4 linked regions of the Lytechinus pictus genome follow. The protein of the gene in region 4 purifies or fractionates together with the protein of the main gene of each other region. This does not show direct contact. Links are inferred from orthologs where the notes say so. Each region holds a gene or a part of one and is shown on either strand. Other genes may lie near its edges.

Region 1 (7,129 bases), on a different chromosome or scaffold from region 4:
TTTACTAGAATCGCGCAAATACGCGTGTGCGCAGACAAGGGAAGGGGGACTGCGCAGACTTGGGGGAACTTGCCATATATAGGTATGTGTGAATACGGGCGCATCGCGAACGCTGGTTTTGGCTGCACGGTTTTCGCGCGGGTTTTGCTGCAAGTGGCATCGCCTCTGTCTGGGCGGCTCATCGAAAATGGGGTTTCATGCGCATGCGCACATAGTTGATGCAATCTCGTGCCTCCATACAGACAGTTGAAGACTTGCTCTTTCTGTACATGTAAGTTTCAATGTGGATACTCGCCTGTGAAGTGTGGATATCGGAGCTTGAAAGTTCATCAAATTTTTGGATGCGCAAATGATCGAAATGTTTTAATGGTAAGTAGAACTGCAATCCAATTATGTATCTTGACCTTTTAAAAATGTATTCAAATTGAAAAAAAAACTAATATCAAAAGATTCTTTCGTGGAGCAGTCCAGATATAAGCGGCGCGAGCTACCCTTGTCACAGCCGGTCTCTCGGCAGTCGAGCTGCCCGATGCGGTGGGCTCCCGACGGTCTTTCGGCAGTCGAGCTACCGGTACCCGATGCGGAGGGCTTGGTGACGGGAGTGGTCGATAGTGAGTCGTTCATGCTGGATTGAACTGGATCTAAATTGTTCACTTGATAATATTGTGCCTTTTTCTGAAAATGTCTGTCATTATACCGTAGATTGTTATTCTGATATTGATTTAAATATATACATTTTGTCACAAAAACATTCTTTCCTCCTAAGGTTATAGAATCATATTTTATCATTTGGAAACTGGATTCTTTTGGAAGTGGAATATTAATGTTAATCTATAGTGTTTCTTTTTTTTCTTTTGTAGAAAAAAAAATATTTTGAAACTTTTCAATCATGTTTCATTATTTTGAGACTGGATTTGCTTTTGAAAGGAGAATATCATAAATGTTGACTTTTTAATTAAAATGCAAATATTATGTTTATTTTTTAGTTTCTTTTTTTTAAATATATTTTTTTAAGTTTCTTTTTTAAATTATTGTATTGTTTATTTTTTTCATTTTTTTTTCATATTTCATTATTTGGAGACTGGATTTGCTTTTGAAAGGAGAATATCTTAAATGTTGATTTTTTTTTATTAAAATGCACGAACTAGATGTTGTTTATTTTATGTTGTAATTTTTTTCACTCTTGTAAGAAAATACATGAAAACTCAGAGGAAAGAATATTTCATTTCCAGATGGGTCTGAGTCCTGTATTTATGTTTATTATTAATTGTACTATTTATTTTTTTGTTCACTTTTCTTTTTTTAGGGGTGCAGGTGGGGGTTGTATTTTGAATTGGAAAATGGGGATGGGATTGGTACAAGTTTTTGTTTCTCTTGTTTTTAGTGCTTGTTTGGAGCTTTGATGTCTGTTTTGTTGTTGTTGTTTAAAGCTTTGTTATATATTTTTCATGGTTGTTTTTTGCTTTGTTTTGAAAGAAATAGACCACTCTTTTCCTTTTCTTTTGGATTCGACTAATAATTTGAATTTATTTTTCTTTAAAAAGAGAGCTCAAACAGGGCTTTTGTAATACAATGTATGTATACAAATCTAAGAAATTGACAACTGATACAATATATTAAAACTTCATTTTCGTCCTTCTTGATACTTGAAATAAATTGCATACAATTCTACATACATATTTTACACTCAGCTGCTCATTCCTTCTAAAAATGTAATCACATGTCCATTGTCTCTCAAATCAAAAGCTACATATTATAACAAATTGTTGAAACAATAGAATACATAAGGAATTGGTGAAACAATAAAATACATCAGAAAAAAGCACACATATTTTTATTTGGTCATACAAAGTACAAAATAATTTTTTTTCATATGTAAAAAAGGACCCCCGTACAAACACATATACAAAATTACAATACTAAGTTGAAAAAGAGCTTGTAATTTATATCAGAAAACAAAGAAATACATTAGAAATTACAAAAACAATACTTTAGACAAATTCATTAGGAAATTATCTACATGATGCTGTTTTGATGCCAACTAAATTATATGAATTATCTATCATAATCACCTTCATTTGGCAAAAAAAAGAGGCAAGTAATTGTGATTTTCTGTTATTTGCATAATTAATTAGAATTAATTAGAAGAAATTATTTTACACATAATAAGAAAAATTACTAGATGAATTGATACACATCAATTAAGCATTCTCTCACCTTTCCATTGATACCTAAATTACTTCATAGGGCTCAAAAACAAAGAAGTTAGAGCCTGTTGAAGACTTGGGTTCAAAATGGTCACAAAAATGACAAAATGGTCACAAAAATCGATTCTGTACTCCATTGACTTTACATTAAGACAATGACCACAAATTTGGATGAATATGTGCGACTTAAACTGGAATAACTTTATAATTTCTTTATGAAAACTAAAGTTCTTGGTATCATTTTAAAGGTCTTTTTAAGAGCTTTCAAGTGATACCAAATTTATTCATATTTGATGATTTTCATTTTTTTTGTCACATACCTACCATATATGCGAATTGAATCGGAGTCGCCGATCGAAACATGGGAATCTGATCTGCTCAATTTTCTGCAAATAATGAGACGAAAACTAGGTAAAAGTCGAGTCTTGACTCCTGGGCTCCGACGTCGACCCGCTTCGCGAGCCGGAGCTCCCTGGCCCTGCCCCTGGGTTAGTTCCGATGCGATGCCGATGGAGCTGGCTGCACTGCACTCTGCACTTACACTCGCCACTCGGCTGATCGCACACGTTACCAATATGATAGCGCAATAAAAATTACATTAAATTTAACTACGCGATTTCCGCACAATTAACCTACGAATATCACCACTCATTATAAAAAAATAAGAATTGAGACTTCAAACTCAGTTACAACTAATACAAGCATATTTTTAATTTATTTTACCTGCCAGAGCACTGTATCTGCGATTTCTTGGTGTAAACAAAGAACGTTGAGGGCCGGCGCGGTAACAAATCTTTTTCCTTACGAAAAGAATAGGTCCATGGTTAAATTCAGAAAAAAATAACAAATAAATATTAATGAAGTTTTGAGGAAAAGCCATCATAGATTAAGAAAGTTATAATTATAATTTATAGTTTTTGTTTTGTGACGTAAAAAATGTCCCATAGTTTATGTCATGTAATATAAAATGTATAAAGTTCTTTTTTTTGTGGGAAGTTCGTGCATGATGACTAAAAAAAAATTTTCAGGAGCGGATGTGAAATTGGCCGTTTATGGTAAATTATTTTCAAATTATTTGAGAAAATGACATTTCCTTGAATTTTTAAAATACACGATATATGGGAAGCTGCTCGCATATGACGTGACAAATAAAAAAAATATTAAAATCTTTGATGGATTTTCCTTAAACCTTCACCAATATTTTGTAAAGTTCAACTTCAGATTTGCTTGGCATTGCAGTGTATGGTAGGGCTATAAAAAGAATTAGGCCTATGTCCATGGGCGGAAATCCCAGGGGGGACAGGGGGGGGCGTGTCCCCCCTACTCAATTGATTTATTTTATTTAAACACGGTAAAAAGCCCTCGATCAGCCTATGGCTGTTTACAAAACATGAACAGAGTGGCCAATTTTTAGGTCTAAATCTCTTTTTTTTTCTGCTCGCGCTTCGCGCTCGCATCAATTGTTGAATTATATAGCTACCCTGTTCACGATTACAAAAATTGATTAAAATTTTCAATTTTTTTATTGTTGAAATATGTAACGCCTTCATGGCTAAGTGCAAGCAGTCCTTAAAAGACAAGTCCACCCCAACAAAAAGCTGATTTGAATAGAAAGTGAAAAATCAAACAAGCATAACACTGAAAATTTCATCAAAATCGGATGAAAAATAAGAAAGTTATATTATTTTTTAAAGTTTCGCTTAAATTCTAAAAACAGTTATATGCACATCCTGTTCGGTATGCAAATGAAGGGACCGATGACATCACCCACTCACTATTTCTTTTTTTTTTGTTATATGAAATATGAAATATTTTGATTTTATTGTCATTGTCATGTGCTTCATTCCTCCCTAAACACGTGGAATTCCATTATTTTAACATTTTGTGGTTCAAGCAAGGGGGTCCTAATTGTCAAATTCGTAAAAATTGAAATATTGTTTAATTCAAACAATATATAAAAAACAAAAGAAATAGTGAGTGAGAGTGACATCACTGACTCTCTCATTTGCATATCATTGAGTTGAGCATAGAACTGTTTTGTGAAAAATAAGCGAAACTTTAAAATGTCTTTATAACTTTCTTATTTTACATCCGATTTTGATGAAGTTTTCAGTGTTATTCATGTGTGATTTTTCTCTATTTATTTAAATAAACTTTTTTTTGGGGTGGACTTGACCTTTAACAGATACCTTTTCAACAGGTACCATTTCAAAACGTATATAAAAATTTTCTGCTGGCGCTTTGCGCTCGCATTATTAATACTCATCCTTTTCATGATTTACAAAACATGAATAGAGCGTCTCGTTCAGTAAATATTATAGGACTAAATTTCGAAACTTTCCGCTCGCGCTTCGCGCTCGCATCAATTGTCTACTTATATACCTATTCTGCTTGAGTTACAAAAAGCGCTTACAATTTTCATTCTTTAGGTGAAAATGTAAAAAAAAAATCAGCTCGCGCTCGCATTATTTGATTGTTAAATGCTAACTGCACGCAGTCTTTAACAGGTATCTTTTCCATCAGTTCATTTCTGCTCGCGCTTTGCGTTCGTAGTAATTTTTTCAGGATAACAAACATTGCCCAGAATGTTCAAATTTTAGGAAAAAATACATAAAATTTCCAACAAATTAGCTCGTGCTTCGCGCTCCCATCATATAAATAAGGATTATGATATTATACATGAATTTATAAGAATAAAGCTAAGAAGTGACTAATGGGGACTATACCCCTTCAAAGAAACAAAACACAAATCATCTTCGAGCTGCCGATCGGGGAAAATACTCGCTGAAACAAATTTCCGCCCCCCCCCCCTCCTATTGGCGAAGGCTGGATCCGCCCCTGTGTCCCCCCTACCTTTTGGGAGAGATTTCCGCCCCTGCCTATGTCCGTGTTATTAAAATATTACAATGCGTCCCATTTATCAATTATAATTTTAACGCTGCATTATCTCCGCAAACAAAAGTATAAATATAGTTTATGTGATAACTGCCTACAGGATTAAAACCAAAACGGAAGTGGCTCAAGATCCTAATCCTAATTTGAGAAGGGGCATGCACAGTAAAAACGCTGTTTAAGATTTTATACAACGCTGTTTACTATTATGAACCTTACAGTATTTATTTAACCGTTTAAACAATCATGTTTAGATATTGAAAATTAAACTTTGTCGCTTAAAGGGATGGTCCGGGCTGAAAATATTTATATCTTAAGACATAGAGTAGAATTCACTGAGCAAAATGCCGAAAATTTCATCAAAATCGGATAACAAATGATACAGTTATTGAAGTTTAAAGTTTAGCAATATTTTGTGAAAACAGTCGTTATGAATATTCATTAGGTGTGCTGATGATGTCACATCTCCACTTTCCGTTTTCTTATGTTATTACATAAAATCATATTTTTCATTATTTCATACTTGTGTGAATAATATGTCTCCCTTATAATGAAATAAGTTGCATCAATAAATATCTAATGCACTAAATCAGTTGTCAATCCAATTTTTCTAGTTCTTTGAGAGAAAATTTGAATAAACCTATTTTCATATAATAAAATACAAAAGAACAAGTGGGGATGTGACATCATCAGCCCACTAATGAATATTCATGACCACTGTTTTCACAAAATATTGCTAAACTTTAAAATTAACTTACTTTGTTATTTGTTATCCGATTTTGATGAAATTTTCGGCATTTTGCTCAGTGAATTTTATTCTAATTATTAAGCTATAAATACTTTCAGCCCGGACCATCCCTTTAAGATTTAAACACTTGTTTAAACTGTTTAAACAATTACTGTAAGGTTCATATAGTAAACAGCGTTGTATAATTTTTTTTTACTATGTGGACTTCGATAACACCGGGGGGGGGGGGGGGGGGAGCGGCACTGTGTCCTCATTGAAAACCCTTTTACCCAAGAAAACGGTCCCGCTGACAAACGTGTTCGGTACCCCTTTCATCTCAAAGAAAGGCCCGTTTCGTGTATTAAAGGTCTAATCCGAGGGGTCCAACCTAGAAAAACTGATGATTTGAATAAATAGAAAAAAAATCAAACAAGCACAACAATACAAATTTCATTAAAATCGGATGTAAAATAAGAAAGCTATGGCATTTTAAAGTTTTGCTTATTTTTCACTATATAAACTTTATATGCACAACTCAGTGATATGCAAATTAGTCGATTATTGATGTCTCTCGCACTATGTTTGAATTGTACAATATTTCAATTTTTACCGATGTGGACAATATAGGGACCAACTTGATTGAACCATAAGTGAATATTGGTAATTTTACATGTTCAGGGAGGAACAAAACATTGTTTCACATGATAATGAGGAGAAAATTAGAACTATTTAATATTTTACATAATAAAATACACAAGAAATAGTCAGTGGGTGACGTCATCATCAGTCACCTCATTTGCATATATACTGACCATGCAGGGGCGGATCCAGCCTTTGCCAATAGGGGGGGGCCCGGAATTTTTTTCAGCCATATTTTCCCCGATCGGCCGCTCGAAGATGATTTTTGGTTTCTTTGAAGGTGTAATCCTAATAGTCACTTTTTGGCTCTATTCTTATTAATCAACATAAATATATCATAATCCTTATTTATATAATGCGAGTGCGAAGCGAGAGCTAAATTTTTTGGAAATCTTATGTATTTTTTCCTAAAATTTGAACATTCTGGGCAATGTTTGTTATCCTGAAAAAGATGTGTATGCAGCTAAATAATTACCACGAACGCGAAGCGCGAGCAGAAATGAACTGATGGAAAAGGTACCTGTTAAAGATTGCATGCAGTTAGCCATGAAGACGTTACATATTTCAAAAAAATCAAATATTGCGAGCGCGAAGCGCGAGCTAAAATTTTTCGACATTTTTACCCGAAGAATGGAAATTCTAAGCACTTTTTTTTAACTTAAAC
Region 2 (7,902 bases), on a different chromosome or scaffold from region 4:
ATTGAATATGCCTGATTAAAAAATATGTTTCTACTGAAAATAAAATAATACAAACTAAAGGATATAAAATGCCATTCCCAGAAGGTAAGTGAAAATTATTTGCTTGGCTTTTAATTATATTCCAGTCAGAATAGACTGTTGCCACAGCTGTTAACAAATATTCGTAATGGCTTCTTAATTTTCCCCTTTTTCCCATGTTTATATTAATTTTGTTTTATTCATTTTTCTTTCACTTTCTTTTTTTTTTTCTCTCTAATTTTTTCTTTTCTTTTTTTCCCTGTTCTTTGTTTTTTCTTTCTTTTGTTTTATTTCACTTATTTCTTTTCTTTTCTTTTTCTTTTTGTAATATACTTTTTGAAAATTATTTTCATTTGTTTCCCCCTTTTATGCATTGTTCTAATTTTGCAGAATATTTTTCTGTGATTTTCTCCTGCTATAATATACTGCAAAAGGGAAAACAGAAATAAAATGGATTTGGGGCCTGCATAATTTAGGTTTTAGGATTCAAAGAGGAAGAAATGAAAAACCATAGTTTTGTACATCTATCTGTGTTTGCTATGCACTATTTATTTACTTTACCATTATGAGTGTGTGTGTCTATACAGAGATTTAAAAAAAGTCCACACAACCTGGGAACAATAAAATTCATTTATTCTCTTTCAATCATTTCATTTTTACAATGATAGAAACAATTTATATTTTACCACAAGCCAATTAGCAAAGTAAAATAACAGCAAACAAGGTTTACATACAAGATGATAAAGTGGAAGTAACTTAGTGGTAGTGGCTGCAGAATTAATATTTCAGAAGTTTGTTTTATCAATTTTTAATGTGTTTCTTTATATTTTTCGGGCCACCAAACTTTAATATCGGGCCACCAAAAAAAAATTATTTGATGGTTTTGGTGGCCCGAACGGGCCACCACCAAAAAAAGTTAATGTGGAGCCTTGGTATAGGTATGTTACAAAAGTGAATGAAGCATTGAGTGTGCTGCCTATAATTGCAGGGTGACTGTGGGGGCATTGCTTTGTATTGTGTTTGCATGTGCAAGGAAAGTTATTCCCCATAACATCATTGTTTTTACGTAGTTGAATGTTTATGGCAGCTGTCTAGACTTGAAAAAATATCACTCGGTGATCTTGCGACCCTGTGTGCTACTGGAAATTTGGCCTTGCTTTCAACCTCTTGCTATTTATATTTACAGGTATCATCCCACTCTAAAAGGTATTTATTCCGATAGAACAACATTTCAACTCCATTGCGGTGAAATTTGAAAGAGATCTACTGACGCTAAGTGTGTTTTTTATGTCCCTGTTTCGGCGGCGTCTGTAATTTTGGGGAGTGTTGTTGGGCACTTCCATATGCCAATGTATGTTGTTTTCTAGTATTAGTGCACCTTGGTCCCCAATTAAGGTCACAACTTTTGTTTTAAAAAACAAAGGAATACATAAGAATTGAAGGGGCGATTTGTACGAACTTAAAACTACCATAACTTTCTTGTTACTACTGGGGCCATTAAAATGAATGAGGTATTAAATTAGGCACTTCAGGTGAAAATTAGGAAAGGCTGTTCCAGCATGTTTGATATGCTCACAATGAGGCTCAATATCTACGATTCACAAAACTGTTTGAATTTTCAAATTCGGATGTCTAAAAGTCAAACCGATCGCGATCGCATGCGATGATTTGAAATCAGCCGTGAATAATACGTGTGAGGAGAAAGATACTGGCCCAAAATCACAAATTTTGAGGATAACCGGAGGATGGACACGGAGTGAAATACGGGTGTAGAGTAAGATATTAAGTCAATCATCTTTTTCGTTATATTTTTTTTGTTTAATTTTTATGATTATCATGATTGCCATCCCACCTTCATCAGTAGAGGCGCACGGCCAATATGGGAGACTCTCTCCAATAGGGGAGACAATCTCCCACATTGGAGCCTTGCTTTGCAAAAGGACAAAAGAAACAACACCAACAAAAGCATGATTTTTTTCCACCCAAAATTTTGTCTCACTGAGATCAGAAGCCCATTTGTTTTGTGTGTGATTGACAACAAAAATCCTTATCAAAACAAAAGTAGACGGTGAATTTTTAAAGTAGACGGTGAAAAGGGGTAATTTTTCATGAGGAATCTGCTTATCACATTTTCATTTGCCGCCAAGGTAATCCTTTTGCAGCAAATGTAAACAAAGGAAATTGGACTCCAAAACTGGAGACTGTCTCTGAAATTGGATACCCAAATTCTTTACAAAAGTCTCTGATATTGGAGATAATCTCCCACATTGGAGACAGTCTCCAATATTGGCCGTGCGCCTCTACTGTTCATGACCTTTGTGACTCGGTATATCCGAAATGGTTCACGGTCCCGATGTTCGGGTAGGTGGAGCGTAGTGTAGCGGTAGTGAAGTGGAGCCTGCACGAACATCGCCTGAGGTAGGATGTGACATGTGGCAGCCAAAGCCAAGGCTAATTTTAAAACTAAAAAGTAAAACTAAAATTTTTACTCAAAAGTCAAAAAGAAAAGGCAAGCTACTCTAGGTTAGGCCTAAAGCAAAAGGCTAAACACAAATACCCAGGATTTAGGATTACCTGCGAGGGTCCTTGTTTATGAGGACAGTTTTTACATGTACAACCATTACAATAAGATTTCATTTCAGGGTAGATCTACTCAAGAAAACCGTAATTAGAAACCGAGTTTCATTTCGTACAGTCCCACTCATTGACAATAAAGTCATTAAAATGACTTCGATCGTCAATGGATTCGCATAATTGACACGATGATCATCACGCTAATATATTGATTATATACAAAAATTTAACAATGCATGTTAAGATAACATATCGAGCATACTCATAAATTTTCAAATTACGACGAGAATATTAAGATGTGTTCGAAATAAAGCGATTGTTCTTACATCTTGACTGGGACCGAAGGACGCAGCAAACGCTACTTTCTTTGGCCAGAACGAGCGCCCTCTAGCAGCAGTATAATTATAGGACCCCTTTTTTTTTCATCATCGATGCGATTTGGAGGTAGTCTACAATTGTAGACCCACATCTGCAGTGTGTGTATCACAGCTGATTCAAGGAGTCTGCATAGCAGACTAGGTCTACTAGAGCCTGCAGATCTGAAATGGCTCGCTTCGCTCGCCCTTTCAGGCTGGTTTGCTTCGCAAACCAGCTGCAGATCCCACTTCACGAGCCATTCAGAGTCTGCATAGCAGACTAATTTGGAGGGGCGCGGCGGCTAAATCACTGAACTAAAAATACGTATCTCTAGTTCAGTGGGCTAAATGCTATAGTCTGCTGTGCAAACCCTTCACTCGAGTAAAGGGTCTGAATTGCAGCCTACCTACTCATGCCTTGTGTATATACTGAAGGCCCTCTCGCGCTCAACAGCAAGTTTTATATGTGCTAGTCTTTGCGTAGAGACACACTGAAAGTTTCAATCAGGGTCTGTGCTAGACAGCTGGCAGCCGTCTGTTTCGAGGAGGTTTTTTACATTTTTAATTTTTTTAATTTCTCCTCGTACACATTTGGTGAGTGAAGCCAACTAAAACGGAGTTCAGCTGAACAACCAACATAACGGAGACCGAAGCTTTTGGTCTAGGTCTAGTCTGTGCCTGCAGACTAGCTATAGGTCGCGGAAGGCAGAACGGCTGTGAAAGGGGGGGGGGTGGGGGGGGGACCATGCAAAAATAACAATGCGACGGTAATTTTTATGTTTTTGTACACGGTTTTGGAAAAAAAAGTGGGGGCTAAAGCCAACCCAGCCCCCTCCTCCCTCGTTTCGCGGCCCCCGGTCTGTCCAGATTTATCGGATTGATTTTCTCTTGACTACACCGAGATGACTCCATTTCAGTAAAAAAAAAATGCGGGAAAAAGTAATAAGTTGCATACAGGGAAATAGGCCTGAGAACATATAAGCCTGTATGTAAATACATCATTGATTACGGTTTCAACAAAGAACAGAGGAAAACCTCTCACTAATAGTGATGAATAACAACAACAATTAACAAGAACAAACTAATATTAGATAATGATGATAACAATAAAAATGGTGATGAAAATCCCGGGATGAAAATAATAATAATAAAGATGATGATGGTGAAAGTAATATTAATAATAATAACAATAATGATAATAGTAGGCCTAATTCTTAATAAATCTTAGGCCGACTTTATAGATTCAGTGACAAATAAATTTCAAGGTATATAAAGATAGAACGTAACGCAAAAAGTAGTATGACAAATCAATTCTTCGATCTTCTTCTTCTTTTTCTTCTTCTTAATTCTTCTTCCTTTCTTCTTCTTCTTCTTTATGTATTTATCTATGTTTATCTGTTATTTTGTGAGAGTGGACATAGAGTTCTGTGATTGTCTTAATTGTCGCATCACAAATTAAGCCATGTGTTAATTGTGCAACAAAATTTTGAACATGGAGCATTCCATTAGAAGCTTTTCAGGGTCCTTTGCTGGGGTGCTGAAGTAAATTTGACGAGCAAAAAAAAAAGTTTCATTACAAAATGAAGGTCGTTTTGGTCCCTAGAAAAAAGTCATTTTCCTTACATTTCCAAATTCGCTACATCTTCCAGAATTCAGCTAGGAGGTGCTGAACTTTAGCATCCCCGCTTCGCAGGGCCATCATGGGCGGAAATCCCAGGGGGGACAGGGGGACGCGTCCTCCCTACCCAAAATAGTATGGGGACACAATATTTGATTTGATTTGATTTATTTTATTTCCACATTTCAAAACAAAAACAAAAAATATACAAGTATAATATTTTTTTTTCAATATTACATAATAGGCAAATATTTTTTTAAACATAATGAATAATGCACATAAATCATTATAAAATATCAACTGGACTGTGAAATTATATCTATATATATACATTTTCTTTAATTACTGAACATATATATATAGAAATGTGGGAGACCTCCATCTTAAGCTTGGAGCTTGAAAGTGATGGAGGCCTCGAAATATCAAAATGTTGATCCCCCTACTTTTTTTGTATGATGGAAAGAAATACATAATTCAAAATTGAAATAAAACATGTATTTTGGACGAGATGACCTTACTTTTTGGGTGATAACCTTCTTTTCTTTTTTTTTTTTTTTGCTTGTAAAATTTATTTTGGTCGAAGTGACCTTACATTTGGGGTGATAAACTTTTTTTAATTTTTTTTTGCTTAATTGTCAAATTTTCCAGCCCCTGGTCCCCTATACCTTCCGGGAGAGATTTCCGCCCTTGAGGGCCATGAAAAACTTGTTGCCTAATTTGGTCGGTCTAGACTCCTTCAAATGAATCTGAAAACATATTTAAAATCACAGAAATTTTAAATTCTTGGAAATGTTGGAATATATTATCATTATATATTTATATCCGAGTAATTCCCAGTAATTCCTCCTCGATCTGTAGGATTGCTTTTTGTGGGGGTAAATCGCGGGGAGATCATCATCGGTGTTCGCGCCCTCATCGATAGAGATACAATAATTGTACATTTGCTTTAACCGTGCCCGTGGATTTTGTGATCGTGAGGAGAATTCCTATTAAAATTCTGCCAAAATGGGGAGACGATCGATCAATACCACGAAAAGTGGGAAGTATATGAATCCTACTGATCAAGCAAGTAAGTAAATTTTGTGTAAATCATGCTGAAGAAATGAGAATGCGTGAGTGCTTCGGGATGGATTGGGACAATCTATTTTTATTAAGGCCTGGTCCCACACGCAGATAAATATGCATTGTTATGCCTGGCGGTATCAATGATAGAACCAATGCCATTTGCCATTGGCAATGCCAATCGAAATCGAGATGCTAATGCAAATGGCAATGCCAGTGGTGCTAATGCAGTTTTGCACCGGCCGACTTCGAGCTAATTCCCCACCAGCATGACCAGAATTGTTTGCAAATATGATGATTGATGGCAAGTCTCTCACTCTCAGAGTCAGACTCGGTCACATCCGATTCCGAAGACGAAGTCAATAAAAATATGTCCACCGCTTGTCCAGCTTGTGACCTTGTCCTGAGTCTGAGATATCGCGATCGGGAAAGGCTGTATTTCGGCTCCAATCTCGACGTTATCTTTTTTTTTTTAGTAGGTCTACTTGGCTTTGCCGTAATTTTGACATGGATTGAAGTTAGTGACCAAAAGATTTGTCTGCGGCAGCACACCTGTTTATTTGCCGCATGTTTGCATGATTTTGGTCGCTAACTTCAGTTTAAATAAAAATTATGGCGAAGCAATGTCTGACTGAGAATTTGCACAATGATGATGAGATTGAAGCTGAAATACAGCTTCAAAACCTAATTTTGGCTTTAACCTCTCATGAATTTAGGGCATGTTCTGTAATTCTTGGGACATGGAGCTGGCTTGGATTGGATGGATTTCTGTTAAATCTTGATGTTAGCATTAGCCCTTTAAAATAAAGACTTTAGAGGACAATTAAACATTTATTTTACAATTGTATATTTTATTTTCACAGGGAAGGAAGCAAGAAAGAGGGAATTAAAGAAGGCAAGTACTTTAATAACCTTGTAGTTTAGTAAATATGGGGTCTCATGGTTTCCTCCCCTTGCCTCCTTCTTGACTGGATAAATTATATTGATATAAAACTAAAACAAGTCGTTTTGATCACTTACACCTCAGTGTGTCTCTGACTACACATTGTCACATACTGTGTAAGTGATTACAAAGTCTTTCATTTTGTTCTGACTTCTGTACATGTTCATGTATGGGACAAGTGTTTCCATGAATTAATAATAAATCATTCAAATTTAAATATTTCATGTTGTAAAGCATATCAGATTTCAAATATAAATTAGAAGAGACTGACTCATGGCATGAATTGATATGTTCTTAGAGCTACTGATAATATTCCATAGAAACCTGTGAAGTTCACCCTCACTGTGTCAAAACTTTAAACCTATGCTCAGCCAGAGTACACAAGTGATGTGGTCAGAATAAAGTAATGAAGTGGGAGAGTGAGATGTTCTTTCTCTGAAATTCAGTTGGCCTTCATGTGGTGGTCTCTGTTGTAGAATGTCCATATTGTGTTCTTGATCACTGTAGTATCCTCGTTTCAAGAATTTTTTACCAATGCAATTTGGAGAATTCTTTTTTTTTTTTTAAAGAATCTGATACCATTCGTTGATTACATGTATGTGGAAACATGTCATACAGGATGAAATGAGCTTCATGACAAAATAAATGTGATGTAATGGATAATGTACTTATAATTCATACATTGCCTCATTTCATACATGTACATTCATCACCTTTTTCTATATATTTAAAGTCAAGTCAACCCCAAATTCATATTCACATTATCATTGGTGTTTGACTTTCTTGTTGGTTTATTAGAACAAGAAGCAGCGTATGGCAGTGAGAGCTGCTGTCTTGAAGAACAAAGATCCATTGGGTTTACTACAAGACTTAGAAGCATTGGATGAACTAGGTGAGTTACTCTTGCCCATATTACACTTGGTGGATCAGAATTTTCAGTTGAAAATGCATTTATTTTATGGGGTTTTCCCCCGAATGTACTGTGATGCATGTCTTGGTTTAGATCATCAAAGTCACATATATTGTCTCAACACTGGATGAACCAAGGTTTTTCTGTGCTCATTACTGCCCTTGATAAATTAGGTTACTTGTTATTGTAACAACTTTTTTTCTGAAGTTGAAGAAATGAGTGAGTTTAATTAATTCAAATACTTTAGAACAAAATTAATTGAAGATCATTAATGAAATATCAATAACTTTTGCAGGTATTATTAAATGTATAAAAAATGTACATTTTGAGAAATATTAAATCAACATTATATAATGGGTGACAGCAGTTTTTTTTAATATATTTTTGTTGGTGGGGAGGGATGGTTTTTTATTAATCTTGT
Region 3 (7,224 bases), about 34 Mb from region 4:
CATGCTCTAATACACTGGCGCTACAGTACATGTACATACGTACACGAGCGATCGCGAGCCAGCCGACTCTCGAGCTAGATCGCGCTGAATGCATGCAAGCTTCGGACTGACTCGGCCAGGACTCGGCTTCAACTTCAAACCAAATAAACAATGAGTTGTCAGACTAAAATAGGCGACTTTTGTCGTCGCGATCGGCGACCAGAACTTGAACAAGAGTCAAGAAAAAGAAATGCCGAGGCCAGCGCCAGTATATCAAGTTCAACCAGGACGCTGTTTATACTTTATTTGTTCTATTTGCACGTTTGTCTTGATGTATATTACATGTATGTTATTTGATGATATGGATCTCTGCATATGCAGCTGTGTCTGGATTAAAGTCTTGAATTGAATTAAGAGCAAAAGAATTTTTGAAAAAAAATCGGGCAAGCAGTTTTTTCTATTGGTCAAGCAAATTTTTTTATCACTTGCCCGACAGGGCAAGAGATGAAAAAAATTCTTTGAAGAGGCCTGGTTTACCCCCTAAATGCGGCTGCCCGATCGCGAGCCGTCTGGGTAGAATGGGGGGGTCGGGTGTCCAGACAGTTTATATTCTTGAGGCCTTCTTTTTTGTCTTTGGATTGCACTAAAAATATGAATTCGATAGTTGTAAACATCTTCTATTTTGTTCTCTATGATGGTGGGCCCCAAGTCTGCGCACCTAACAATTTGAGTTAAGATTTAACATGAATTTCTTCTTATTTCACAAAATCTTTCAGTTAATAATGTTCCTTATATTATTATTAAGAGTAAGTGTACCAAATTTCTCGTTAAAAAATGAAAGAAAATATAGGATTTTCTTGAAAAAACCTCGGGCAGTCATTTTCAGATTAAAAAAAAAGATACTCCATGTCTGCGCACTCATTCACTTTGCACAATTCGGGGATTTTGATGAGAAAGGCTGCATTTTGAGGCCATCACATGAAATGCCCTAAATTCCTTATTTTTCCACCATTTTCAGTCGGATTTTTTTATGAATACCTGTCTATGTATTGCATTGCATGTTTAAACTTCGTGCTCGTTGCGTATCTTCTTTTACTAGAATCGCGCAGATACGCAGACAAGGGGGACTGCGCAGACTTGGGGGAACTTGCCATATAAAATATTAATATTTCCTAACATTTTGTAATAAAAATTGATGAAACTTCACTTGTAAATTTTTCCAAATGACGTTCTAAATTGATCGTCCGGACACACAACTGGGTATACTACTACTACGACGTCTACGAGAAAGTACTCACACAACATGCGAGGTTAGTATATTAACCTCGCACAACGCATGTCATTTCATAATGAATTTTGACGTTTTCATTCATCACACGAATGTGAGAATATGAAACACGCCTAAATCTTCACAATATACTAAATTTACTTATTTAGTAATCTTAATCATATAGCCTAGGGCCTAAGGCTAATGTAATCTAATTTTAAAAATCAGCACGAACTTATCTATAAAAATGGATTTTAAACGCTTACCTCCAAATCTCAGCCAGTTACTCCGTCCGATCCTTAATACTGCGGTGGAAATTACGCAAACAACAATTGAAATGCGAATTTTTCCTATCGAACAGTCTAGATTCAAGTCGAGAACCAGCGAATCGGCCCCATGCCTGCTTCGACATCAAGAAAAATCATTGATATAAAGTACCAGAAAGACAGAGAGGAATTGAAATTGGCTTCATATCGTTTGGTAAGTTTCATATCCAAAGACCAAAGTTTATTTAATTTGAAATCTGTAATGTATTGCTAATTTAAAAATAATAAAGGTGTTGCAAGTGGGATGGGGGATCGGGTGTCCGGACACTTTATATTTTTGAAGCCTTCTTTTTTGTCATTGGATTACACTACAAATACGAAATCAATAGTTGTAATCATCTTCTATTTTGTTCTCTATAATATTTCCTGACATTTTGTACTAAAAATTGATTGATTTCCTTGTAAATTTTTCCAAATGACCAGTAGAGGCGCTGGTCCAAAAACTGGGATTGTCCCAGAAAACAAGGATATCCTCATAAACCAAGACAAATCATGTCTTGATAAATTGAGACTGTCCTTGTTTATGGGGACGTTTTTTTTTCACTTCTCCCTACGGGACAAAGACAGCAATTACGGAAATTGAGAGTGCTAAAAATAGATTCAGTGACCTCAATTCCCCCCAGTTCGCCGTCTAATTTTCATGACTTACCGTCTTCCAATAATCTTGTTATGAAACCTGATATGTTTACATTGACTAGCACACTTGATTGGTGTCGGCACTTGACAGGTGAATGAACTTTCCTAGATTTCTAGTGTGAAGAAATCCTTATAAACTGAGACAGTCCCTGTATTCTGGGACGATCCCAATTTTCTGACCGGCGCCTCTACTGATGACTTTCTAAAATTGATCGTCCGGACACACAACAACTGGGTATGCCGTGCCAGTGGTTATCCTGTGGCTGTGCACGGCGGCGGTAATCAGTACTGGAGTACTGTACTACTGGTAATGTACCCGTAGGTGACGAGAAATAAGAAATGTTAAAAACTCCTCGAAACAGACGGCTGCCAGCTGTTTAACCCCCCCCCCCCCCAGCTTCCCCACGGCCCACAAGTGTCACAACAATGTCGCTCACTCAGTCACTGACACACTGGCGTGGCGGCATAACAATACATGACCGATTACAACATCCATATTCCACTCCATTCACTCACAATACAAATCGTCGAGCTTCGCTTGCTTTCTCACTGCACTCCCGAGCTCCCTGCTCCAGCTCTTGAGGCAACAAAATTACATCAAATGATATATGGCAAACTAGGCAAACGTGGTAAGATTCAGATCTAATTCTAAGAATAAATTGTGAATTTATATGGTCTCACTTTATTAAAATTTGGAGTCTAAATTCTACTCACTCTTTCGTAATCTCGAACAAGACGCAACGTAAGTGTTACCAAACGCAGAGGGCGCGCGACTTCTATGGCCACCGCGCTGAGTCGAGTGGGCATTCCGCAATTGGCCGCTCTCTCGGGGATCAAAACTATTTGTTTGCAAATGATGTCATATCGGATTTTTTTCTGCGGATACACCTTCAAAAACAAAAATTGTTCAGATTTGGATGGACCTATAGTGGGTCGAAAATAACGTAGGCCTAACCAAATTTTAAACTGTATTTGGCTAAGTTGCCAACTAATTTCTGTGTAACTTTAGTTTTATTTTTGATGCACTCAAGGAATTATTGGGGGCGAAGCGCTATGCTTGCCCCCCCCCCATATTTTCGTTGGTGGGGCGATCGCCTTCCCCCCTGTCCCCCCAAGATCGACGCCTCTGTTTGTTTGATTTACAACTGTATCACACCCTTTCCTAAAAAGAAAACAAAAACAAGTCATCACGATCGAACCATTAAAAAAATGAAATTTATGCGTTTATATTACAAAACATATGGGGCAGCTGCTCGTTTATGACGTCACAAAGCTAAAATTTAAAATTCTAATAACTTTCTTAATCTTTAATGGATTTTACTCAAACCTTCACCAATATTTTCCATTATTTTTTTCTGCTATTTTTACAACATCTGATCATCTCTCCCACAGGATGTAGACATGACGAGATCCAAGATCTTCCCATCTGATCATTTCTCACACAGGATGTAGACATGACGAGATCCAAGATCTTATCATCTGATCATCACTCCCACAGGATGTAGACATGATGAGATCCGAGATCTTGCAATCTGATCATCTCTCACACGGGACGTACACATGACGATGATCTAAGAATTTGTCTGATCATCTCTCCCACGGGATGCAGACATGACGAGATGATTATATTATGGGTGGCACTTTCCCGGGCGGGGGGCCCTTCCATTGACGAGTGGATCGATACCATGCGCGACCATGGGGTCTCGAAAAGCACCCTAAACAAGTATTTCCATATTCTGAAAATGCACCCCTTAACAAGTATTGGCGTGTGAAACCCTACCCTTAACAAGTATATTGGAAACAAAACGATACTTATCCCTGAATTGAACACCTAAACAAGTACAGCGATATTTTAATTGTTATGTCACGTACGGACGTCGGTCGTCGGTTTTACCTTTACCTACATCATTGGGTTTAGTACGGCCCCACCTCCCATATCTCGCGCAAATCGTACTAAACACGTAGTGTTGACTGCTGGGACAAAGAGTGACATCCTTTATTAAACATCTTAGTCTGAATTGTTTATACCCTCCCAAATTTGACCCTAAACACGTGGCTTTCCTAGCGAAATAGATACCCCAGGCTTTTTTCATTATTTTAGTGTTTTGACGACACCCTTATTACGTTACGTACGTAACGCGCCCTATCTTTTTACGTGTTTTTTGGGTCGCAAATGGTATGCACTCGTCAATGTAAGTGCCCCCCCCCCCCTGGGGGGGCATGCACTTTTAAACTTCCATATAGGCCTATTTCTCTTTCTGTTTATGGTAACTCCCGTAGGAACTCGACAGGACAGCTTTTGCTGGTAAACGCCGAGCTGGTATATAACCAATTACCTAGCAAACATTTAACGTCTAGGTTAATCAGTCATAGTGGCTGACGGTATAGACGACAGATATTACTCTCGGGTCTTTTTTCAAAGTGGAGACAATGGCAGAGTGAGGATTCGAACTCACAACTTCGTGATTATGAGTCCAATATGCTCTAACCACTGAATAACACGACCCGTTAACTTTTGCAAATTTCAAAATTCTGTTTTGCCCCATCTTCCTCTAAAGGTAGGCCAATAATAAAGTCAACAACCCAAGACCATATGCGAATCCAGGGGGCCGAGGCCCCCCCCCCCCCCCCTATTGGCGGAGAGAAAAAAAGAAAAAAGGAAAGAAAGAAAAAAAAAGGAAAAGAGAGGAGACAAAAGAAGAAGAAACATAAAAAGAGGAAGACGAGTGAATAAAATAAGATGAGGGGAAGACTTGAAAAAAATTTTTTTTTAATCTTTCATGTCACTATATAACTTTTTCGCTCGCGCTTTGCGCTCGCATTTTAGGTGATTTACATATCTTGTTCAATATGGAGCTTAACATATTAATTTTGAAGTCAATATACAAAACATATTTCAGCTCGGAAATCGAACTTTCTTTATTTTTGTTCGATTTACAAATTGATTTTTAAAAATTGCCCTGTAGAAATGTCTGTTTTATGGTCTGAATATTAACATTTTCTGCTCGCGCTGCGCGCTCGGAAAATTGGATTTGTCAGGTAACTATTATTTTCCTGTATTCCATAAAGTTCTCAAAATATCCCTATTCAGGTCAGATTGTCAAAACGTATCAGCTAACACTGCACACTCGCATTTTGATTGGTGAGTTAAGTGTATCAATATTAATTCTATAACAAACTAATGAATCCCCATTTCTTGACAGTTTATCAAAAATTTCGGCTCGCGATCTGCGCTCGCATTGATTGTTGAAAATATATTAACTCATGCATCTTATTCATAATTACATAAGTGATTTAAATGTCCAGTTTTCAGGCCATAATATTAAGAGATTTCGCGCTCTCATTAGTCTTATTAGATTAATGAATAAGATATTAATTTAATAATCAAATTGTCCCTTTTTTCAGAATGGAATATCGGCAAGTTTCATCTCGTGCTTAGGAAGAAATATAGGAATATAGTCATCATTTTCATATGATGACATAATGTTCTTAGAATGTCCCGGTCCTATGTCAAAACTCAAGTAATAATAATGAAACATATCAGCTCCTTTTTTAACTCTGATCCATATCCACCTCACAAATTCCCTTCAAAGTGCTTGAAATACAGAGCTTGAATTGATCCTTTTTATCAGATCGGAATATAAAATATTTTAAGCTCGCGCTTCGCGCTCGCTTTATTGATTTTCATGATAAAAAAGGCATTTAGAATGCCCAGATTCTAGGTCGAAATCTGAAACACGCCCACGCATGTTTATTTAGATACGCTGCCTGTACTCTATTTAAATCATTATCAAGTTTCAGATCGCAGTATAAAAAAATTTGCTCGTGCATTGCGTTCGCATTATTAATGTAGGAAGATTTCAAATTACTCATCATTTTCATGATTTACCAAACATGAATAGAGTGTCCCATTTTTAGGTGTGAATCTCGATTTTTTTTTTCCGCTCGCGCTCGCATCAATTGTTTTGTTATATATACTTATCCTTTTCACGATTACAAAAAGTGCTCAGAATTTTTATTCATCGGGTATATAAATGTCAAAATTTTAAGCTCGCGCTTCGCGCTCGCATTATATTGATTGTTCAAATATGTAACGTCTTCATGGCTAACTGCAAGCAGCCGTTAACAGATCCTTTTTAGATCAGATCAAAACGTATATTGAAAATTATCTAATATTGTTGAATAAGCATCCAGTGGCGTAACAGGCGGGGGGGGGGCAGGGGGGGGCAAGTTGCCCCCCCCCCCTGGCGAATTTCACCGGGAAAATAAAAAAGGGAAAAAATAAAAGAGAGGGAGAAAGAAAGGGGAAGAAAAGAGGGAAAGGAAAGGAGGAAAAGGAAAGAGAAAGGGAAAAGTGGAAAGAAAACAAAAAATATATATTTTTTTTAAATGGATGTCCTTTAAATGGAAAAGGAAGGAAAGCGGGAAGAAGAACAAAAGAAGAGCATTTGAGAAAGAACAAATCATTCCGAAATAGACCTATGTAGTGCAATAGCATGATGGGAAAGATCACAAACTGACAAACAATAGCGGGAAATGAAGGTAGAATGGAATTAGTCAAAAGCTAAATTGGAAAACAAAGAAAAGGCACAAGAAATAAAAACTTAATAACACGACCGGGCTGACGAGGATAGATAATAAAGAGCGGGAAGAAAGATGGACTGCATACAACATTGTGCTATTAGCTTGCTCAATTTTATGCAAATAAGCTACCGGGGCTTAGCCCCAGACCCCAAGCAGTAGGGGCTCTTCATCTATGACCTTCAAATGGCTCTATTACGCCCCCTGTAGGGACCCTTCCTACATTAAGCTTTACGTTCAATCACTGGCGTACAGGCGGGGGAGGGTCTTGGTTCAACACCCAAGAGGAAATAAAAGAAATTATAGGAGACAACGTATAATGAAATGAATGGAAACAATGAAATGTGTTATTTGCTGAATATAATGGAGAAATCTATCACATAATTAGAATTTAATTTCAATAGGCAATTTTTTTCCAGCTCGCTTTGCTCGCTG
Region 4 (7,021 bases):
CGAAAAATTCTTTGACGATATGTCGCTAAACATATCTTGCCAATTTCGATAACTATCGACAGAGAACATAATCAATACCTATTTTTTCTACATTATAGCGATGTCACATACTCGCGTTGTTCAAAATTTGTATCTGCCACTGTACATGTACCAAGAATGCTTTAAAATCCATGTTCATCGGATGTAAATGATTACATAAAATCTTTTAACAAACAAATATATTTAAATACATCCTCACCTTTCACGTTATTAGCATTATTTTAGGATTGGATGAATTTTTATCGATAATTTTGGGGCTTTTTGGGCATCGTCAATGTCTTTTGCCTATCCGGCATTTTGATATCGTTCTGTACATCTCAAAACGTAGAGTGCAGCAACACACGGCTTGTGTGCTGCCTTCTACGTTACTTGGTACTTCGTTAAAATTGAGCTTGCGCTTCTGATGTTTTTGATAAGGTCGAATGGAGTCAAGTGCAGTCATGTTTGGATTGTCAGGATTATAACGAAGTGGGGGTGAGATCGTGTTTTGTGGCTAGTACATGTAAGTATTCATATTTTGTTGAAATTTTGGAGTAATTTTTCTGTTATTTTCTGTTTAAAAATTCACTTTCAAAAGGCCATTTCCGTGTATTTACGTGAAATCGCAAAAAATCACTGTATCCCTACATGTACATGCATGTAATAGCGGGTATTATCGACGAGAGAAAGGTTATTGATATCGCTAAGTGGCAAAAAACGCGATTATCAACAAGACTAGCGATAAAGATGTTATCGATAAACAGCCCTAATGTTGAATTTTTGTGATCAAAATTTGCAGCCTTGTTTTGATGAAATGCTGTGCACTATGAATGCTCACAATTTTGTTTTCAATTTTGAAAGAAGGAGAATGAGACGGGACTTTTCCTTTTTTTTTTGAGGGTCCAGTTTGTGCCTCGATGTCAGCAGGATTCTGTGTCACGATAGACCGTCCATTCATCCATTAATTATAATTGGGGTAGTGCATAATTTATTTTCCCCCCTCTTATTTTGGGTGCTTTTGCGACCCCATTCTACCCCATTTTGGATAGTATTCTCTGCCTCATATTACACGGACGAGTCCTGGGCTCCGGCCCGCAAAGCGGGCCTGAGGCTGAGCTCCCTGGGCCGGGTTACATGTAACCCAGGGAGCTCCGGCCCGCGCAGTGGGCCGGAGCCCAGGGGCTTACCATGTATTTGACCATACTCACGGGACTAGCGTGATTTATGGTCTAAATATTTCTCCAAATGAATTGTGAAAACTGAAATTATACACTTACCGCGATTATATGGATGAAGGTCTAACGAGTGGCAGTTTCCTGACATCGAGGCACAGACTGAAACTTCAAAAAAACGAAAAGTTCTCTCCTTCTACCCCCGTCTCGATCGGCCATTTTTGTTATGAATCGTAACAAAATGGCCGATCGAGACTGGGGTAGGAGAGAACTTTTCGTTTTTTTTAACTTGAAGTTCCAGTCTGTGCCTCGATGTCAGGAAACTGCCACTCGTTAGACCTTCATCCATATAATCGCGGTAAGTGCATAATTTCTGTTTTCACAATTCATTTGGAGAAATATTTAGACCATAAATCACGCTAGTCCTGTGAGTATGGTCAAATACACGGTAAGCCCCTGGGGCCCGTTTCTCAACACCGTCATAAGTCTAACTTCTTGACTATTAAATCAGAGATAGTGAGCTACTTGTCCGCTAACCGTTTCACGAAGCCCTCTTTACCAAGATCGGGTACAACAACCTCACTAAATATTTATGACACCTCCGAAGCTGTCATAACTTCTTTCTTAGTGACGTACATGTAGTGGCATCACGTGGGTAGACTATGACATGCAAAAGCGCCTAGATATTTGAAAATAATAATCTTACGTAATCAATCATAGAGGTTGAAATTACATCACAAAACAAGTGGGATAATGCATTAAATGATAATTCTAATACAAAGAAACTATGAAAACTGTTAGTAAAACGCCACAAAACCTTTCAGTTTGAAATAGTGAAATGATTTAATCGATAAAGATTCTACCACGTCAGGCCATCCATAACTGGACTCGTATTTGTCGTTTTCAGACCCCTATTAACATTTGGATAAATTCTATCTCTAATTTATGCATACAATTTGTCAAATCGCATGTTTCGGTATCAAAGATTTAACAAAAATTGTTGAACTATAGTTTGATGATGTATGGAACCGTAGAAGGGCGTATAATTATCATCATTTTACAAAGAAAACCGTTATGGTTTACTTTCGTAAACTATTAAAATTCGATGTCCCGGGGGTACCCATCTCAACGTCCACATGTGATTTTCTAGTCATGAAATGAATTATTAATAATTTAATTTTCTCAGCAACTGAATGCTCCAATCTTCATGGTCTAAGTATGTATGATGCATAATTTAAATGTGCTGTTATTTTGAAAAGATGTATTTCCCAATTCATCACAATATTTGCAATTTTGTCATAATTTTTCTTTTTGAAAATTAGGCTATTTTGTGACTAAGGAGTAAGGCTACGTCTCGTCTGCTCATTTTTCGCTCATCTTTCGTGAAACGGGTTTAGTAAGATTGGAACTAACTCCATGGTTGATGGTTGGTGGATAAAGATATGACTTGTCCAGGTGTTGAGAAACGGGCCCCAGGGCTCCGGCCCGCTGCGCGGGCCGGAGCTCCCTGGGTTAGGTTACATGTAGATCCCTACCGTATTCCTCGCAATACCGGTACGTGTGAGTAGTGCGCCTGATGAGGCTGAGCCTGAGGTAAAACAGAGAAGCTAAATTGAAGAGCTTACCTTCCAACTTAAATTTCAAAGTACAGGTTGAATTTCAATTGAAGAAAGTGTATTTTAAATTTCATTCAAAAATATGCGAGTTATCTTACCCATCTGTATCTTCCATTTCGCCTGCCTTATTCAGGAAAGAGACATTTTTACGAAATATAATCTCGGAATTTTATGATACCGGTGAATTGAGACGAATCGAAATCATGTGAATCGGCAACTTTGATGCAGATATTGTGAAGTGATTATTGCTTTAAAAATATTTTTCTAGAATTTCAGCATTATAAAAGCAAAAATAATAATTGGAAAAAAATTAAAATATTTTTAGTAATTCAAAATCGTAAATATTATTAATTATATACAACATTACCAATTATAACAAAGTGATCTGTAAAACTAAAGCATTTCGAAAAAGTAGGCAACAAGGCTTACATTAGAGTTCGATAAGTCGTTTTAAAACATAAGAAAATAAAAAATGCAATATTTGACATATTATTTTATTTTTTTACAAATATAAGACATTTTATTTTGATAAAAAAAAATTAATGTATTAATTTATTAATTTACGTATTTTTAAATCATTTTAAAATTGATTTATTTAAAGAAACGGTTTCTTTGACTCTGGCAGATTGTCTTAGCTTTGGCCAATTACGCAAAGGGCCGGTGCCGGTGATCGGATCGCGATCGGACTCGAGTGGCGCGCCGGGCCGCGAAAGAAGGCCTTGAGATGAGCCGTACATAGTACATAGAGACTGATACTAGAGTCTTAGAGAGGGTACCGACGCGACATAGAGATGCTGCCAGGTTGACTCTGGACATGGATAATTCCTGAACAGCTGATTTTTACTCTTACTAAATCTGCGAATGCAAGTCATCAAAACTTTGAACTGTTTAGTGTTGGATCTGAATTTAGAAGTTAGAACCCTTTTTAACAGTGGAGCATGAGCAGTCTTTGGGCCTTGGCTTTGAGTGACTTTTTAAATTAAAGAAAGTGAGTCAATCAATCATGATCATCCTACTACTAGCTGACTAGACCAAAATCTTCGGTCTCTGTTAAATTGGTTGTTCTGCAGAACTCTGTTAGCTCCAAATGAAAAAAATTTAAACTCCTTGTTCCCGGCCATGCCAGCTGTTTAGATCATTCATTCAAGTTCGGACATCAGATTTTTTTTTAGGCCCCTATTTGATAACTCGGTGGGGGTCATTCAGAGGCTAAGGCTTTCGTTGGTGCGCGCGGCTGTGACGAATTGAAATGTGCAGCCGCCATCTTTAAGTTATACATGTAAAGAGGAAAATATCAGACTTTTCACTGTTTTACAATACATTTTTCAAAAAGTACAGTTCATTATATTACGTTGTAGTCTTTACAGTGTGAAAATCAGACACAAGGCCAAATATTTTCTTGTAATGTTAGGGTCTATATTAACTATGCGTAATTGGCCATGCGTCTTTAACTCGCCCCACGAAAAGGTGGCTTTGTTACACTTTTTCAATTTTCATTCAGTTAAACAAAGGCCTACCACATCTCAGTTGAACGGAGAGATTTGTCATGAAATTGGTATCATTTTAAACTACCGGTACTAACTATATAGCCTACATCATGTCTGAAAAAATAAGTGCAATATGAATATTTATTTTTTTTACAAATGGCTTGAGAATTTGGTTTAACAAAGATGAGATAACTCAAAGATGATTGTGTTATTTATTTTCCAGATCTATGCAAATTAAGGTGTCTGGATTAAGACCCTCATCTACAGAAATACCCTGTTATAGATTTCCATCAAAAGTGACGTTTGGAGCCAGAAATCTTGGATTGGTGGTGTCCAACAATCATAACAGGAGAGGCTGAAGCGAAGATTTGGATCCAGATTTGGTGTGAAGTCCTCGGTTGAGTTTGAGAAATCCACATTTCAACAATGTTTCAAGCTATAATTCGCAGTACCTCAAGCATTACAAGGAGAATGGCAAGTATAATTAGATGCGCTATGTCTTGCACTTTAGGCACTGGTACTGATAAAGCAAGGTTTGATTAATAAAATAAACCTTGCACAAAGTTGATTTGGTCATTTTGTTGATTTCACTTATGCTATTTGTGTCTGTGTATCAAGGGATCATTTTATTTCAAATCACATGTGTGCAGTCACAAGTGTGAGTCAAAATTGCACATGCCTACTTGCCTAGTATGGCTATAGCCTCCTACATGTACATGTATTTACACATTACCTTTGAGACTCCAGGGCCCTGTCGTACAAAGAGTTACAATTGATCCAGTTAATCTCAACTGTATGGGAAATCCATCTTTACCCCCGGGGGGCCACATCCATTGATGAGTGGATACCATGCGCGACCATGGGGTCTCGAAAAGCACCCTAAACACGTATTTTCCATATTCTGAATATGCACCCCTTAACAAGTATTGGCGTGTGAAACCATACCCTTAACAAGTATTGGAAACAAAACGATACTCTTGCCAAGTATTCCCTGAATTGACTCCCTAAACAAGTACAGCGATATTTTTATTGATATATCGGTCGTCGGCTTTACCGTTACCTTTACCTACATTATTGGGTAAATCGTACTCTAAACACGTAGTGTTGACTCTTGGGGCAAAAAGTACATCCTTTATAAAAACATTTTAGTCTTAATTTTTTACCCCCTCGCAAATTTGACCCTAAACACATAGCTTTCCTAGCGAAAAAAGATACCCTTTTTTCATTATTTTAGTGTTTTTGACACCCTTATTACATTACGTACGTAACGTGCCCTATCTTGAAAAAGACACCCTTTTTACGTGTTTTTTTTGGTCGCGTATGGTATCCACTCGTCAATGTAAGTGCCCCCCCCCCCCCCCCGGGTCTGTACCATTTTTTTTTCTACGAGAAATTTGCACAATCCCCTTTATAGTAAACAAAGAGAATCACAGTTAATCTTCAAGAGAACGATGAATGTACATAGAAAGTATTTTGAACAAACATGCATTTTAGATGTTGACAACTTGATGTTGCTGGCTTTCCATAATTATGGTCGATCAGATCAATAGGAACTCTTTGTAGGGCTCTTGCTCTTTCCTGAAATCATGGGCTTTCATGTAGGGCCATTGACATTACCTGCATGTATAATTTCTTTTACATAAATGAATAGGTTATATCATTATACCTTGATAAACATATTCAAAAAGCACATGACCAAAATCACCACTTAAAGCACTCGGCATGTCTTGCTGTGTGAGGTGTACAGTGATTTTATAAATGATGCCTTAGTTTAATATGCTTTTTTTTTTGTATGAATAGTAGCTGTCTGCTGTTTGCTTCAACATGCTTTGAATGGTTTATTGAAAGTCATGAAAATTGTCATACATTCTCTTGGTCAACTATGAAATGTTGATCTGGAATTAGATGAACAATGCTGATGGTGCTGCATGTATGGATCAAGATTTTTGTTCACAAGTTTGATTCTTTATGCCATAAACTTACAATTGTGAAATCTAAGCTGATATTGATAAGTAGCAAACTGAAGATCACACTCACAGATAAGCCAGGGAGTAATTTTACTTTTCAAATATGATTTGTGATTATTAGAGAAAAGCTTTCAAATATGCTCTTAACAGTTCTATGTCAAAAATTGCTACACGAATGAAATTTTGTGTAGCGATCACGAAATCATGTGGAGCAAATTGCGATGCGATACCAGGAAAATTATTCCCTCTAAGCACATGTAGGGCAGTGTATTATATTTGGAAAAAAAATATGTGAAAAAAGACTGACACTTGGCTAAGATTGCATGCTTGTTTTGTGAATTATTCAGCAATTTTCTTATCAAAATCTTTCAGCACATATCTTATTCATGCATAATAACGATTGGTGGTCATTCTTTTGACTTTTGTTCAAACTGATTTTTAATGTATATTGTTACCAGAATCTCATTTATGTACTGTAACTTTAATTTTAAAGACTTTATTATGATATTGTTTGCCGCAACTGCATATGCATTTATTTAGCTTTTAATAACCACAGTTAAAATTGATTTGATTCTAGCTGACAGCTCTTCAGCCAAGGGGTCTATCGGGAGTACAAGATGCTACTGAGGGAGAAGGAAGAATAAAAACAGTCCTGCAGGATAAATTTCCAACTGCAACAAGCATTGAGGTGGAAGATATATCAGGTAAGAAGTCAATACAAGATGGCAAAATATAACTTTATTCAGAAATTAAAAAAACAC

The links.
Region 1: the proteins of serine/threonine-protein kinase PRP4 homolog (region 4) and U4/U6 small nuclear ribonucleoprotein Prp31-like purify together in Homo sapiens (affinity purification with mass spectrometry; 3 studies listed by BioGRID and IntAct, with this or other methods). This does not show direct contact. The link is inferred for Lytechinus pictus from reciprocal best matches to the Homo sapiens genes PRP4K and PRPF31.
Region 2: the proteins of serine/threonine-protein kinase PRP4 homolog (region 4) and RNA-binding protein with serine-rich domain 1-like purify together in Homo sapiens (co-immunoprecipitation; 4 studies listed by BioGRID and IntAct, with this or other methods). This does not show direct contact. The link is inferred for Lytechinus pictus from reciprocal best matches to the Homo sapiens genes PRP4K and RNPS1.
Region 3: the proteins of serine/threonine-protein kinase PRP4 homolog (region 4) and pre-mRNA-processing-splicing factor 8 purify together in Homo sapiens (affinity purification with mass spectrometry; 4 studies listed by BioGRID and IntAct, with this or other methods). This does not show direct contact. The link is inferred for Lytechinus pictus from reciprocal best matches to the Homo sapiens genes PRP4K and PRPF8.

The regions. Positions count from the first base shown.
Region 1 is NC_087254.1:21,097,086-21,104,214, reverse strand, and holds the start of U4/U6 small nuclear ribonucleoprotein Prp31-like, read right to left. Parts: upstream 3,005-7,129; 5' UTR 2,931-3,004; intron 2,594-2,930; exon of another isoform or gene 2,532-2,593; intron 1-2,531. UniProt on the Homo sapiens protein: Involved in pre-mRNA splicing as component of the spliceosome. Required for the assembly of the U4/U5/U6 tri-snRNP complex, one of the building blocks of the spliceosome.
Region 2 is NC_087254.1:22,809,699-22,817,600, reverse strand, and holds the start of RNA-binding protein with serine-rich domain 1-like, read right to left. Parts: upstream 3,006-7,902; 5' UTR 2,921-3,005; coding exon 2,919-2,920; intron 1-2,918. Other genes in the region: WW domain-binding protein 11-like, read left to right, coding at 5,572-5,635, 6,492-6,523, 7,370-7,463. UniProt on the Homo sapiens protein: Part of pre- and post-splicing multiprotein mRNP complexes. Auxiliary component of the splicing-dependent multiprotein exon junction complex (EJC) deposited at splice junction on mRNAs.
Region 3 is NC_087246.1:34,396,956-34,404,179, reverse strand, and holds the start of pre-mRNA-processing-splicing factor 8, read right to left. Parts: upstream 3,025-7,224; 5' UTR 2,923-3,024; intron 1-2,922. UniProt on the Homo sapiens protein: Plays a role in pre-mRNA splicing as core component of precatalytic, catalytic and postcatalytic spliceosomal complexes, both of the predominant U2-type spliceosome and the minor U12-type spliceosome.
Region 4 is NC_087246.1:68,799,181-68,806,201, forward strand, and holds the start of serine/threonine-protein kinase PRP4 homolog, read right to left. Parts: upstream 3,019-7,021; 5' UTR 2,922-3,018; coding exon 2,905-2,921; intron 1-2,904. UniProt on the Homo sapiens protein: Serine/threonine kinase involved in spliceosomal assembly as well as mitosis and signaling regulation. Connects chromatin mediated regulation of transcription and pre-mRNA splicing.